Neodiprion lecontei: one gene and its partner. The protein of the gene in region 1 interacts with the protein of each later gene in a pairwise test. Links are inferred from orthologs where the notes say so. Each region holds a gene or a part of one and is shown in the gene's direction. Other genes may lie near its edges.

The links.
Region 2: the proteins of poly [ADP-ribose] polymerase tankyrase (region 1) and proteasome inhibitor PI31 subunit interact in binary tests that used the Drosophila melanogaster proteins (3 or more experiments, as listed by UniProt). The link is inferred for Neodiprion lecontei from reciprocal best matches to the Drosophila melanogaster genes Tnks and PI31.

The regions. Positions count from the first base shown.
Region 1 is NC_060265.1:26,915,417-26,921,074, reverse strand, and holds the start of poly [ADP-ribose] polymerase tankyrase, read left to right. Parts: upstream 1-2,062; 5' UTR 2,063-2,360; coding exon 2,361-2,553; intron 2,554-3,773; coding exon 3,774-3,976; intron 3,977-4,068; coding exon 4,069-4,409; intron 4,410-4,482; coding exon 4,483-4,736; intron 4,737-4,910; coding exon 4,911-5,244; intron 5,245-5,491; coding exon 5,492-5,622; intron 5,623-5,658. Other genes in the region: uncharacterized protein LOC107218902, read right to left, coding at 58-200, 338-491, 1,053-1,350, 1,543-1,632. UniProt on the Drosophila melanogaster protein: Stimulates proteasome activity, probably by ADP-ribosylation of PI31. Modulates 26S proteasome assembly.
Region 2 is NC_060261.1:13,182,879-13,191,781, reverse strand, and holds proteasome inhibitor PI31 subunit, read left to right. Parts: upstream 1-2,538; 5' UTR 2,539-2,760; coding exon 2,761-2,910; intron 2,911-3,135; coding exon 3,136-3,285; intron 3,286-3,354; coding exon 3,355-3,644; intron 3,645-5,478; coding exon 5,479-5,649; coding exon of another isoform or gene 5,650-5,653; exon of another isoform or gene 5,654-5,686; intron 5,687-6,394; coding exon of another isoform or gene 6,395-6,459; intron 6,460-6,571; coding exon 6,572-6,701; 3' UTR 6,702-7,902; downstream 7,903-8,903. Other genes in the region: dolichyldiphosphatase 1, read right to left, coding at 198-327, 743-970, 1,206-1,384, 1,488-1,550.

The DNA.
Region 1 (5,658 bases):
AAAAAAAAGGAAATAAATGACAACAGTTGAGTTTCACAAATTTAGGAAGGGTCTTACTTTTCATAATTTCAATATCCTGAATATCTGTCAACCTTTTTTTCACAGCTGGGGCTACTATTGCATTTGCAGCAAGTTCAGATATTGCTTGTCTTTTTTCGAATGTCTCATTCTGAAAGTCGTTTATATCATTGACCTGATCCCTGAAAATTTGTTGATTACATGTCAAGATCCAATACTAACAATTATGCAGACTATGATAAACTTGTACCGTCATTCACTAAAAACAACTTGTTTGAATCTAATTATTGAAACTGGGATTGAATGCAAACAGATTTACTCGACAAAGCTTCTAGCCCTTCGCTCAGTCTTAGAAAATCGGCTGTTCATCTCCTCAATGTTTTTATGTATATCTGAAGTGGTATTGATTAACAGCTTCTTAGTTACTTCGTCTGTAATCCCGGATTGTGGTGCCATGAGTACATTGCTATCCGCTGCAAATAAAAGAGTTACACATTAAAATTTTTTTACCAACATTTACCTGGGATTTATCATCTAGCCGTTGGTTCCCTTTAAAGGGTGCAAATTGTGAGCATAGCTTTTTACATGCCAAGCTTCTCAATATAACGTGAGTAAATATTGTAACTGTTAGAATGGTTGGGAAAAATGAGGCTCCAATAATTCTATTGGTATATTTATTATATAGAAATACGTTAAGAGTTAATATTTGAATATTCGGGACAACACCAGACATTCGTGGCGCTTTGCCTGTGATCTTCTTTTCGACTCTATTCAACTCTGTGTACAGAAAAACAACACTCTTGCTTCTCACACACTCACTCGGTATTAGAATACATACGTGTAGGTCAGATTCGGTTTCCTCAATGTCAGTATACAATACAGTGTAGATATATGTGTGTACAATATAAATGTATAGTACATACATCAACAGTACCGGCAACTGAATTCAACGGAGTAAATGGGATAGGAATCAAATTTAACATAACAAGGCCAAGTAAGTAAATTAAAAGAATTGAAATCAAAATATAACTTACATTCACGTTTGATATATACATAAAGGACAACCTGTGAGAGCTTCCACATGACGTTGATAAACTTTGTACCTCCAGCGTGCAACAAATACGTGCCCAATATTGAGGGAAGGCCAGCCTCGGGATGCTCGGTTGCAACGATGCCTATAAAATCTTTAACATCGCTTCTGTACTTGCTCTCACTCTTCTTACAAACTATTGGCCACTCCACCAATTTTCTAAACCGTTCCGAATCATATATCGTAAGGAGATAGTGAGATACGTGAATGAAGCCTGTAGTGTTCGGCTTGTCAAACATTCCCTGGAAAATAAAATTAACTAGATAGAAGTAACAGGTTAGTAAATTTTCACTAAATCAGCAGTTCACAGTAAGAACAATGTATCAGCTGAATTTTTTTGATAGTATCGAGACGGTAGACGGACAACAAACTAGAGAGGTTATATTCACAAAAACTGAAGGCTACATCACTTGGCAACAAATCAATTTCCATACCTCTCGAAAATGCCGTCTAAAAGCTTCGTTCGGGGACACAAGTTGCGTAAGAAGAGAGACATTTTTGTGGAAAGATACGCTGACTGCCATCGGTACTCCCTGTTGCCTAATATCAGTAATTATTGTATTTACACTTTACGTCAGAAACGCTATAAATCACAACTTAGCAACGAATTCATTCTAGTGTTCATTTCATTATGTTAATTAGGTGCAGAATTATTGATTAAATCGATTAAATCTAGTGATATTATCTGTATAATTAGTATCGGACGTGAGCCGCTTAAGATGCGTCATATGCGATCAAGCGCCGGGACTGATGGGGACTGACCATCTTTCTCTTTTTCAAAACGCTACGCTCGGCAAATCGAAAACGGCGATTGGTCCGCATTGCTAGCAACCGTTGACGGCAAGTCGGTGACGAATAACTTTCAATTCTGCGGGGCGTCGTGAGGTGTCGGCGAGGGGCGCGGGTGGGGGGGGGGGGCAGGGAGGGAGAGAGGGATTTGACATCAAACCGCGTGTATTCTTATTCATCGTAAGAAATTTCGAATATCAGTGTGACTTAAAAGACTCGCTGATATGCGATGCAAACAAGAAAGAAGAAAATAAGGGTAAATAAATTTGGTTCAAGGAAAAATTGAGCGGTCGAAATTACACCAGGGGCTCAAGAAACTCGCGTTGCGACCCTGCCAAACTCTTGTTGCTATGGTACAGCTGGCGCATTGGTCCTCGACTGCGATGACATACGTATACACGTATACATTGGTATACGGAGGTGTGTGCCTCAGACGACAGTAGCATGAAAATGGTGGTGTAAAATGACTGGACGACGGGCAGTGTTGACGAACTCTGAGCCCTTGCCAGGAAATGGGGGTGCTGATCCATTTCGCGAACTTTTCGAAGCGTGTAAAACCGGGGACTTGGTAAGGGTGAAACAAATCGTAACCCCGCAAACGGTTAACGCGCGTGATACCGCCGGACGAAAATCTACCCCCCTGCACTTCGCAGCTGGTGAGCGAATTTATATTTACATTTATCCTCTCGCGTTACCTTACAGCTGAACAATTCAATATCGGGACACCCTTTTACTCCTACGGAGTAAGGATAGTTCGTTATCTCGAACCAATTATTCTGTAAACTGTGCTGCATGTGTTATTTCCCCTTTTTAAAGTTATCATCAATTTTTTTGGTTAGGGTTTGCGCAACGAAAAACAAAAATTACGTGTGTATGTGTATCTATGTGCGTATATCTTACCCGTGTTTTGCCATCTCCTGTCATTATACAGGTTTTCCTGGTTTTGAGTGAGCTGAATGCAAACAGCAAATTAACATTGAGAAACGTATCTTTAGCCATTACCTGCTCATTTTAATTTCGAAACAAAATCCTCCATGTACTCCAAAACAGTTAAATAGCACGAATTGAATGACCCTGTTACTCGGCCATTTCTCCATTTATAATGATCCCTTCATTTTTATACCTTGCAATCATAGTCCGTGTTTAGTTTTATTATATAAAAAAAAATGCTTAAACGTGAAAAATTTTTAAAGTATTGTCAAATTGTGTAGTTGTTAAAACTAGACTATATAGCAATACTTATATTAGATCATAGGTCTCGTTAAAATGAGCTGTGAAATAACATTTTATTATTATCGTATCCAAGAGAAAGTGAAAGTATAATGTAGAAATTTTTAGAGCACCAAATTATTACTTGTTGTTATTCTGCTGCGCATATTTAATGTTCTTAATATGTAACAACCTGGAAAATATTAGTTTGCAACCTGCTTTGCGTGGATAGAAAGGTCGTGCTCCTGCTTACAAGGCAGAACCGAGTTCTAACTGTACTTATACTTGGTTGGCCACCTTCTTTCAATAGGTAAATAATGACATCTTCTTTGTCGTTATTTCACCTGAGGTTTTGCATTCAGACTGGAAACCTGAGTAAACTAGAAAGCCTGGATAAAAATTATCTCATACAAACTGTACAAACTGTAAAAATAAAGTTGAGGAAAGGGGAAGAAGCGAGCTTTCCAAAAATAAACTGTGTCTCAAGAAAGTGAGGAGAAAAAAAGGAGAAAAAAATTAATGTCTGCCTATTTACCAGATATGTGCGCATAACTTATAATCTGTTTGCTCGTTCTTTAAGAATCATTCAATAAAAATGGTGTATTAGTTTATCATCTTAACATGCTAATTTTCAAATTACAATTAACTGTAACGTTCCTGCCAATAGGATATGGTAGGAGAGACGTGGTGGAATTTTTACTTTCGGCTGGAGCCTCTATACAAGCCCGCGACGACGGAGGCCTCCATCCTCTCCACAACGCGTGTTCATTTGGTCATTTTGACGTTGTGCGATTGCTTTTGGAAGCAGGAGCTAATCCTAATACCAGAGATAACTGGAATTACACGCCATTGCACGAGGCTGCTATCAAGGTAGAATTGTACATGAGAAATGTCAGTCGGCAAGTTTTTTTTATCATCATTTAATGTTCTTATTATGAAACACTCGGTCTGTCATATTACAGGGTAAAATAGATGTCTGTATTGCTCTCCTCCAACATGGAGCTGACGCCAATATTCGAAACACCGAAGGAAAAATAGCACTCGAATTAGCTGACCCAGCAACAAAGCCTGTTCTTACGGGAGAATATAGGAAAGATGAACTGCTAGAGGCAGCTAGATCAGGCAATGAGGAGAGATTATTGCAATTATTGAATCCGTTGAATGTTAATTGCCACGCTAGTGACGGAAGACGATCCACTCCGCTGCACTTAGCTGCCGGTTACAACAGATCGCGGGTTGTACAAATATTGTTACAAAACGGAGCAGATGTCCATGCCAAGGACAAAGGGTATGCAGGATTTGGGTAACAATTCGGTTTGGGAAATTTTAGACTGTTAATTATGGACGTAACAATAACTGATGGACATTCTCTACAGGGGGTTGGTGCCACTGCATAACGCTTGTTCCTATGGTCACTTTGAAGTGACGGAAGCCCTTCTGAAACACGGAGCTGCTGTTAACGCAAGTGATCTCTGGGCCTTCACCCCGCTTCACGAAGCTGCCAGTAAATCTAGAGCTGAAGTGTGCTCGCTGCTGCTGAGCGAAGGCGCAGATCCGACTCAGCTCAATTGCCACAGTAAAAGTGCCATTGACGTGGCACCTACGCTGGAATTACAAGAAAGACTGGCATGTGAGTATAAATCTTATAAAACTCTCGTTTGTATGGGTGAAAATGGTAGATCCATAAAACATAATTTCTTACTCTCTCCAGTCGAGTACTGAAAACAGGCTTATTATTTTCAGCAAACCATTAATAGAACTCTAGAACAGAACAAAAGTCGCTCAATCTCCTCTTATATTTCAGATGAGTTCAAAGGACACTGTCTTCTAGATGCCTGCAGACAGGCAGATGCAACGAAATTGAAAAAGTATCTGTCTCAGGATGTTGTTAATTTTAAGCATCCCTACACTGGCGATACTCCTCTGCATAGCGCAGTGGCATCACCCTATCCGAAACGGAAACAAGTTATAGAAACTTTGATAAGAAAAAACGCAGCTCTGAATGAAAAAAATAAAGACTTTCTTACACCTCTTCATATAGCTACCGATCATTCCCACTACGACGCAATGGATGTCTTACTACGACACAATGCCAAAGTTAACGCCTTAGATGGACTAGGACAGACGGCTTTGCACAGGTAATTTTGTACTGTTATTCAAATTACTCCTGTCATTTTGAGTTACTTAGTAGGCCTTCGAAGATGATCAAATTTCGAAAAATGCTTACGGAAATAATGTTGAATAATATATGTATGATAATCTTTTGCATGCATATCTATGAAAAATTGTAATTTTATGTTTATCCTGTTGAATCGATATTTGGTGCACTGCAAAGGCCTAGTAATTAATGCAATATAAAATAAGAATATTAATAAATGTATTTAGGTGCGCCAGAGAGGACAACGTTCAGGCATGTAGGATACTTCTTTCCTATAACGTTGATCCTTCGATAGTCTCGTTGCAAGGATATACGGCAAGTCAAGTTGCTACGGAGAATGTCATAAAAATATTACAAGGTTAGTGTGATTAAACATCTAAGGATATTGCGCAAG
Region 2 (8,903 bases), on another chromosome or scaffold:
ACAGTTTAATTCGGAACGTTTTTTATACAAATTTAGATTTCGAATACAATCCGACGAAATAATTCCCACTTCGGATTTGAGATTTACGTCTAATTCTTGGATCTCAAGTCTCGTAATGTAGGTCTTAAGTCTAGACTGCAAAATGTAAAATTTAATTTATTTTATTTGTTGTCAGCCCACTGACCGATCATCAGTCGTCACTGAGACTTCATGGACACCAACTTCCGTGATCTAGCTCTGGCTTCGGCTCGTGCATTTGTATATTCGAACCATAGTACGTTTGGAATCAATGTTGTATCGCGTAGCAATAGATATTCTGATATTCGCCTGTAATAAGCAAAAGTAATATTTTTTACACTTAACCGTATCTAACTATCTTGCATATATTGAAATAGAATGTATTCATAGAAATTATTTTCTTATTGAAAAATAAAAAAATGAAAACAAAATTACGTGATTCAATAGTGCCTGTAAATCATTTTGATGAGAATAGTTTACAGGTTTAAAAAAATTGATACAATTGTCTAGTTTTATCTATAAAATGTAATATGTGACTGAGAAATCTGGGAACAAAATTTCAGTAGTTTTGAAAGCAGTCTTGTTGAAATGTTTATTTCAATTTTGCATCCAATTATTCTTGGAAACAAAAGTAATTATCAGTGTAGTAATAATGACATGAATAATAACAATAATAATAATGATATTTGGATAATAATATTAATAAATTGATAGCGAAACTCACCATGATACAATAATTGGAAAAAATGGTGTGAGGACTAGATGAGTAACTAGAAACCAGACGCTGCCGACAAAGATTCCTACAATCACGCCGCAAAGAACTTGTGCAATAGAATGGTATTGCAAATAAATGCGGCTAAAAGCAACAAGGGTTGCGACTCCTACACAGCTGGCGATTATAGTTATCCGCCAAAATCTCTCTGATACTGTGCTGTTGTTATTATGATGTAATCTGTGATGCCGAAGAATTAAAGAAAGATCATTAATCTTAAACACATAAACTCAATTGACAGAAATTGGTTAAAAGTTTCAATAATCTTTATGTCCTAGAAAACTTTGTTAACTTGAATGAAGCTTTGAAACAGATCACCACACAGAAGTAGAAAAGCGATTCAAGTAACCAAATGTAATAACGACTTACAACCAATTCTGTGCTAGATTGAGATCACACCCTAGAAATGCGTTACCTAACAAATACGAATATTGTTGCATATGTAGCGAAGAACCACATAAACTGAGTATGAGCAGAAGGCATTCCGTACTCTGTGTATATAACTTCCCGCCTGATGGGTCGTGCTTCTCGTATTGCATGTTTGAGAGAAAAGTTGACAACCTCGTTAACAACAACACCCCCTAAGAATGCTATCTGTAAAAATCAAATCCAATGATCACTGGGTATTTTTTAATTTCTGTTGGCGTTACAAAGTTGACACCCCAGAATGATCATACAATTGTGTGAGTTATCTTACAGTGTGTAAATCTCTTCTGAATAGCACTAGCGTTAAAAAACCTGCGATAACAGCGAATGGCATTAAACTTATCAATGCCAAAAACTTCCCAATCAGATCACCTGTAATTTAAGATCACTCAAGTGAACATCGGTTACAAGGTGCAAGAGAAATGAAGACAGAAATCCGTGCGTTGTTTGACAACATTGTTCTTGTATTTATGATTTTAAGACTTTCATATGTTTAATTATGATTCGTTAACGTTCTATGTTTTTATCATTTTCAATTAGTGGATTCTAGAAGTGATAGAGAAAAGACATTGAACTATAGATTCTGAATTAAAAATTTTATTTGTACCAACTAGTGAAAGGAAATATTGAATAATGTTTTCAGCGCCGTCAGTAGCCTCGTGGAAATACGGACACGAATGCAGATAACGTTTCATTATCATTTATTAAACATGCAATAATTATTAGTTAAATTTACCTGCCGGATATTCTACGAGCGTAAGGGATAAGGGCACCCATTCCAATTGCTCGATGGAATGTGTAGAGTGAGATTTAATGTCGCGCAGCGACTCATCGTCGAGCGACGACGCCATTTTCAAAGTTTGAAACTGCCGTACAGCGTCACCAAATTCTGGCAAGAATGTGGACAGTGTCGGTTGTATTTGTTGTATTTTGTTACCGACAGTGCGTGTTAACAGATGTCCCCACAGGGCTTCCGTAAAGAATGAGAAGTGTCATACTCCATACATACACAACCAAAGAGGATGACGGAAATCAAGTCATAAGATTTGCACTGCATATGTATATTTCTAGATTTCAGAGCATATACTATCGGAGGTAGCTACCCAATCCGACTACCTCACGAAAACTGAACCTGAAATAATGAGAGAACGAAACATGTACTCGGGATATTCCGTCTCTCTCACTCTGCACTTTATTGGCTGAGAGGAAACGTATGGACCAATCAAGTATGGAGCGAGAGAGACAGGTTGTAACGAGCATATACTTCTCTCTCTCACTCATCCACCACGCTCTCTATATATACGAAGCTACCACTCGTAGTATAAAGCTACTGGCCGAAAACTAGGAAGAATTGCAATTCCCTGTTTTGTTGGGATTGCCGTCAGTTAAAAACCAAGGAAAATGTTTCCCTCGGTGTATAACTTGATTGGCTGAGTCTCCGCTTACCACGGTGCACTGGTTATCACTCAGTTTTCCATTGACTTGCGTTCAATTGCATTGTCATTCCTCCGCGATTTTCGGCAACGAACCTCAAGAGAAAAATCATGGCAGCTGATCCATCCAATATTTTTGGCTTTGAATTACTCTACAAATCTGTGGAGAATCAAATAAATAAGAAAGATGACGTATTGATAACTCTGGTGCACTGGTACTTTGTTAGAACTGGATTTAGATGCATTGGCACTGGTGACACGGTTAGTGCCGAATATCTGAACCTGATGCAATCTGAAAAATAGAAAAAGCAAAATAATGAATAACCAAACACTACAAAAAAATATTCATCTGAAAAACTTATAAATCCGGATAATTTAATTTGTTTTTATTCATTACAATTAACAGCTTGGTTCTACTTATTATTTTCTTCTACTAATTCGGGGAGAAAAAAGACGAAATTCAAAGTTTATTTAAATGATTTACAGAAAACGTTTAATCCAAATGAAGTAGGATCTGAATTGTTACCTAACGGCTGGAACCAGAATCCCAATTACGCTTTGCGTTATGTCAAGGAAGGAAAACTGTACATTTTACTTGGCACAAAGTCAGATGCCGATTTAATCCTCAATCTGATGGTGAGTCAATTTCACTCCTAGGTATTGATGGTCACATTTTTACTTTCTAATTGGCATTCATCCTTATAGCGAATCGAAGACCACAGTGTGTCCAACATTCAGTTTTTGGTCGACACAACTGTGTCTGCCCTGAAAGGGCCACTGCAGACGTTGATGCCGAGTTTCCAAAGTGTCATAAACACCATCAGAACGGACCTGGTTGACCCCGTTTATACAGGAAATGCAAGAGAAACATCGACTCAAACTTCGACAGGCAATGTGAACAGTACGCGTGATATTCCACGCCGCCCAAATCGCTCGGATTACGATCCTCTCAGGGTAGGACCGCCACAAAGACCAAACCCAGATCTTCCTAATTGGTAATTTCCATATCAATTTTCTAGTAAGCCATAAGCCCTTTCTTTAAAAAGCATTCATTGTTAAGGTTTCAAAGGTCCTCTGGGTCTGGCCACATCATTTGCTGCATTGTGAATGTGTTTGTTACATGGCTTACTAGGAAATTTATGTGGCGCTCTTTCAGTCCAACAGAAATTTACCTTTGATACCTTTACAGGTTTCCAATGACATTGATGACATAGATCCCGATGATATTTGGCCTACAATGAACCTTTAAACCCTTGAACATCTTGTCCAAGCCTTTTCCTGACTTCATCCTGATCAGGACGAACATTCCCTTCGTTTTTAATCACACCAAATCCTTGTTATCGATAATCCTTTTCTAACCACAAGAAATAAAATCCCTCATAATATTTCGGATTCAATCGCTTAATTGTTACGCATTCATGTACAATCGTTGTATGAAAGAAATGAGGTGATTCTCAGAAAGACATTCGGCAGAATGATACATTTTATTCACTGTTAGGACATAGTTTCTTGCATCTCTTAAGTTCTTGTGGAAATTCTTATAGTCTTTAGTAATTTTTTGAAACCTTGATAAACTTTTGATCCACTCAAGTGAAAAGCACAAAATGAATTTTAATACTTGAAACATCCAAGCAAATATAACAAACAATTGAACTGTTCTATCAGCAAAATACAGAAGCCATTTACAACAAAATCATCAGGCTTCTGGATTAGAGATTCTGTTGAAACATCTAGGGGCGTATGTTTGGACGAAACTACGGAACTCCTGATGTGTAGTTTCATCCAATAGACCTTACATCGCTCAGCATACGGTAGATCAGATCGTAGGAAACTCGTAGTTACTTCACTATTGCTCTGAAGTAATATATCTATTCAAACTCGAACGTCTTAGATACTATTACTGAAACCCTATCAGAAGACAATAAAACTTGATATTTGAGGCGTAAATACACAGCAGGATTATTTGGTTATGGAATTTCAGTCATCAAGCTGCATATATAACCAATTGTAACTGAAATGAAGAAAAGCCTATTAGATGAAACTATGTATCACAAGCTCCATATGTTTAGCTATGCAAATGATCGCAGAAGTTATTGAATTCGAAGTTGGCAGAAGATTTGCATCAGAAAATTAGTGTGCTTACCAAACTCAGTGGTTTTCGCGCTTTAGGAACATTCTAGCTCATACGATCGTTCAATACTGTTCAAATGAGTTTTAGAGGAGTCATAAAACGTCAAAACTTTGCATTTCATATATTATTGTAAAAATTGACTTTATTCAGTGAAAATTATCTATTTAGAAAATAGCAATTTGGTTTTTTGCTCTTGAATGGAATTTTCTGCTAGCCCGTAATTCGACAAGCAATACGAATAAGAATGCTGTCGCTTGCCCAACTTTAGAAAAAAAATAGTAGTGCAATCACAGGTTCGCTCAAGATTCGCACTCTCCAGTAAACTATCCAATCGCCTATTGTTCAGAATAATAATTCTTACTGAATAAGGTCTATAAATACGAAGTTTCAATATTTACCTACTCCTGGAAAACTCAATCGAAAGCTATCTAGCGATTCTACAAACCAGCTTATTTCCTATCAATCTCCTTTTCATCAGAAGTTTGAGCAGAATTTCATTATCTGGAAGCCTGATACTTTCCTTGTTAGATTATCGTATTGAAATTCGTTTGATGCTCCAAAAAGTCAAATTTGGCAGAAGTTGAGCCTGCTACTTGAAAAAGATGCACAAGTTTCTGTCGAAGTTTAAAAAGTTGAGGAACGGCGTGGCTGAAGTTCGTCGATTATCACTGACAATCAAATCATGGAAAATATTTCAGGAATCCAATGGCTGACCCAAGAGGAGTTGGAAGATCAGATCTGGATCCATTCACAGGACCTCCAGGCAGCGGAGGAATGATCTTTGACCCTTTCTCATCCGGCCCATTTGGCCGAAATCCACTAGGACCCGGAGGTCCTGGAAGTTTGGGAATTCCTGGCCGTCTTCCCCCGTAATTGCCATTACTATTTATTCACACGCTTCAAAGGGTCCGTTCAATACTTGCTTATTGGTCGCAAAGAACGAAAAAAGAGGGAGGCCCCTGGTCCAAAAATTCTCAATAGATCATGTTTTAATTTCTCAGAAACGTACCATGTTTTCGAATAGTTCTAAAGAAAATTCTGTATTTATCCTCAAAAAGTTTGTGAGGGATATCCAAAATTTCCAGAGAGTTTTCATATGCTTTCAGACTTCTTATTCTATTGAAAATCACATAAACACCGAAGTTTCGCGTCATGTCTACTGATTACGTAGCGTTTGAAGTAAAAATGGCAAGAATTTCTGGGAAAAACTTTTATATTATTGAAAACCTGAAGAATTTCGAGTTTTCATTTTTCTGAATATTTCTGAGAAAGTCGAGTTAGAGGTGAAAATCGGACCAATGCCTAGAGAAAAGTCACTTTCTTTCAGAACTTTATTTTCTGTCACAAATTCGAAAAAATCCGATTCCAGTGTTTCTAAGTATTTTCAGGCGATAACGAATTATAAAAAACTGTTATGGATTTCTGAGAAATTTGAAATCTCAAGATTTTTTCATAAATGTATCGGCGTTAATTTTCGACATAAACTTGGAGAAATTTGTACCAATTCTTAGAAATTATTCGAGTTTAACATATATTTTTCAAAAAAGTTGAGAAACTGTCATAAATTCTGAGTAAATTTGTAGAAATTTAATCTAAAAATATTTTGTGTCGAAGAGGGGGATGCGAAATTTCCAAAACAGATGTCAATGCAATACTTGAATGGCTTCTGAATACAAAATGTAGGTCACATTTCGATGGTATCAATGTGATTGTGTTATCCAAATGTTTCACAAAAAAAGTAACGAAATTTACGAATTACCTAAATTCATAACGTTTTTTTTCAAATTCTAGCGGCGCTGTGCCGCCTGGGGCACGTTTTGATCCCTTCGGGCCACCGGACGTAAATCTTCCGCGGCCCCCCAGGGGGGGACCCGACAATGACCATTTACCACCGCCAGGGTATGACGACATGTTCATGTAAAAGACGAGGCTTCAAGAATATGGAACGATAGCGGGATTTTCGGTTACTAAAATTCTGCGTAAAAGTATAAGAGCCATTTAATGTGTATCAATTTTTTATCTAATAAAAAAATAACTGGTCAGTTGCCGCCTCGTAATTTATTTCTGTGGGAGATCAGGGCAAAGCAGAGCACCCTGGGGAAAGTGCAGGATCATGGTTATTCGAATGCCAAGGAATTTTTGTATTTCTGTTTACTTATAATCAAGGGAAATATTCCAACTTCTAAACTGTCGACAAGATATTTTTTGAATTTTGCAGGGAAAAGCAGAAATTGTGCAAAAAATGTAAGAAATATTTTCGACCTACGTTACTTTGCCCCGATTTCCCGTATGTACACATGTGGACAGTAATTCAGAAACGGCTAGTTTTTCGGTAAGGTCAATTACGTTGGTACATAACGCGAATTCAGTCTGCAGTGCCACTGTCAGCCTACCGCTACGGGCTGAATCTGCGTTACCAACGTAATCGACCTTACCGAAAAACTAGCAGTCTCTGAATTAATGTCCACATGTGTACATACATGCAATAAACATCGTTTAATCTTAAATTCCCTTGAAGAGAATTTTTCTCTATCTTCACGTTGGTAAGAAAAATAAATTAAAACCCCGCGCAGAAATTCTCGGATTGAATAATTTCAACGTAAGTAATGAATTTCTTTTTAAATATAATTTAATCACTGTATCAATATTTAAACAATAATATAAGTATTGTGTGATACGTAGTAATTAAGGGACATTATTTTATCAAATCAAATTAAATATAATAAAATATAATAATAATTGTTGATTTAATTCAGCTAACTTGTTACTAACTTATATTCGTTATTTCTTTCAATCGTACCAATCAGGTTTCTGGGATGACTTGCAAATAATAATTAAGGACAGATTTTACTGTAGCTTTGCTATACATGACTTACTTGACTCATTTCGTAACATCATTAGTGAGAATTAATTATGAATAAACAATTTCTGTTAAACATTGGTTATTCTCATGTCTCCGTTTTACATACCGTTATTAATTTTTATCATTATTTTTAGATCATTGGATATAGAGATGCATATATCCATTACGCAACTAAATTTAGAACCCTTCATTTGACACAATGATAATTCAATGTCTCAAAACCTCGATATTATAACATGGTATAATTAGAAAAATTGAACTGTGTATTAAAAAAATATCGCACAGGAGTGCAGAAATTTGACAAAAGTCTTGACGATAAAAAATTTGTTTATTTTTTTTTAATTCTTTTTTTTATTTATTTTTTTTTATTTGCGTTCAAAAAAATTTTCAATAGATATGCGACAACAAACACAGATGATTTTCTTAATTTATCTGTGCTTCGTATAATTTTTGCCTGCATCTACAGAAAGGGGTATGTATATTGAATATGCATTAAAGTATATTCATATAAAAAAGAAGAAAAAAGTAATACTAGGATTTATTTATGTTCTGGGGAAAAAGCGTCGCCTACCAAGAAAATAATTAAAATAACGAATCTTACCATACGATAAATTTTCCGCTTGTTTGTTTTTTTCTCACTATTTCTTCCTGGCATCAAGAAAGTAATAATAGTATTAGTGTAGTACCAGGTGTAGCAGTAGTCGTAGTAGTAATAATAGAAAAAAGCATTCGTGAAAGTATATAACATAATAAGTATATGATTATTATAATAATATGCGATTGATTATTCGATAAAATAAAGATGATGATTTATTTGTAAGGGATCATGCGTAACCACGTAGAATAAAGTTAATTATATAATTTCAGTATGATTTTCATAAATTAAAGAGTATCACAAACTAAACGTGGTTTTTTGGTAATGTGACAAACAGTGGTACGCCTTATTAACCCCATCATCTGTTACAAAAAATTATTGCAGCTTTCGCATCAACACGAAAGAAGTATTATAGAATAACAGTAATAAATGTTATAGAAGATTTTACGTATCTATCACACAGCTCATTGCATAATCGCGCAACCCAGACGAACGTGATAAGAAAAAGAAGATCGAACAGTTTTTTAACGGACATTCTCTGTACGCTGCAATTTTATTTCATATTAGATTATTTTTCAAGCGATGTTTTGGGATTCGCGAATTCAGAAGACGCCAACTTTTAGCAGCAAATGAATTACATCAACTACCAGAACCAAATTCAATTG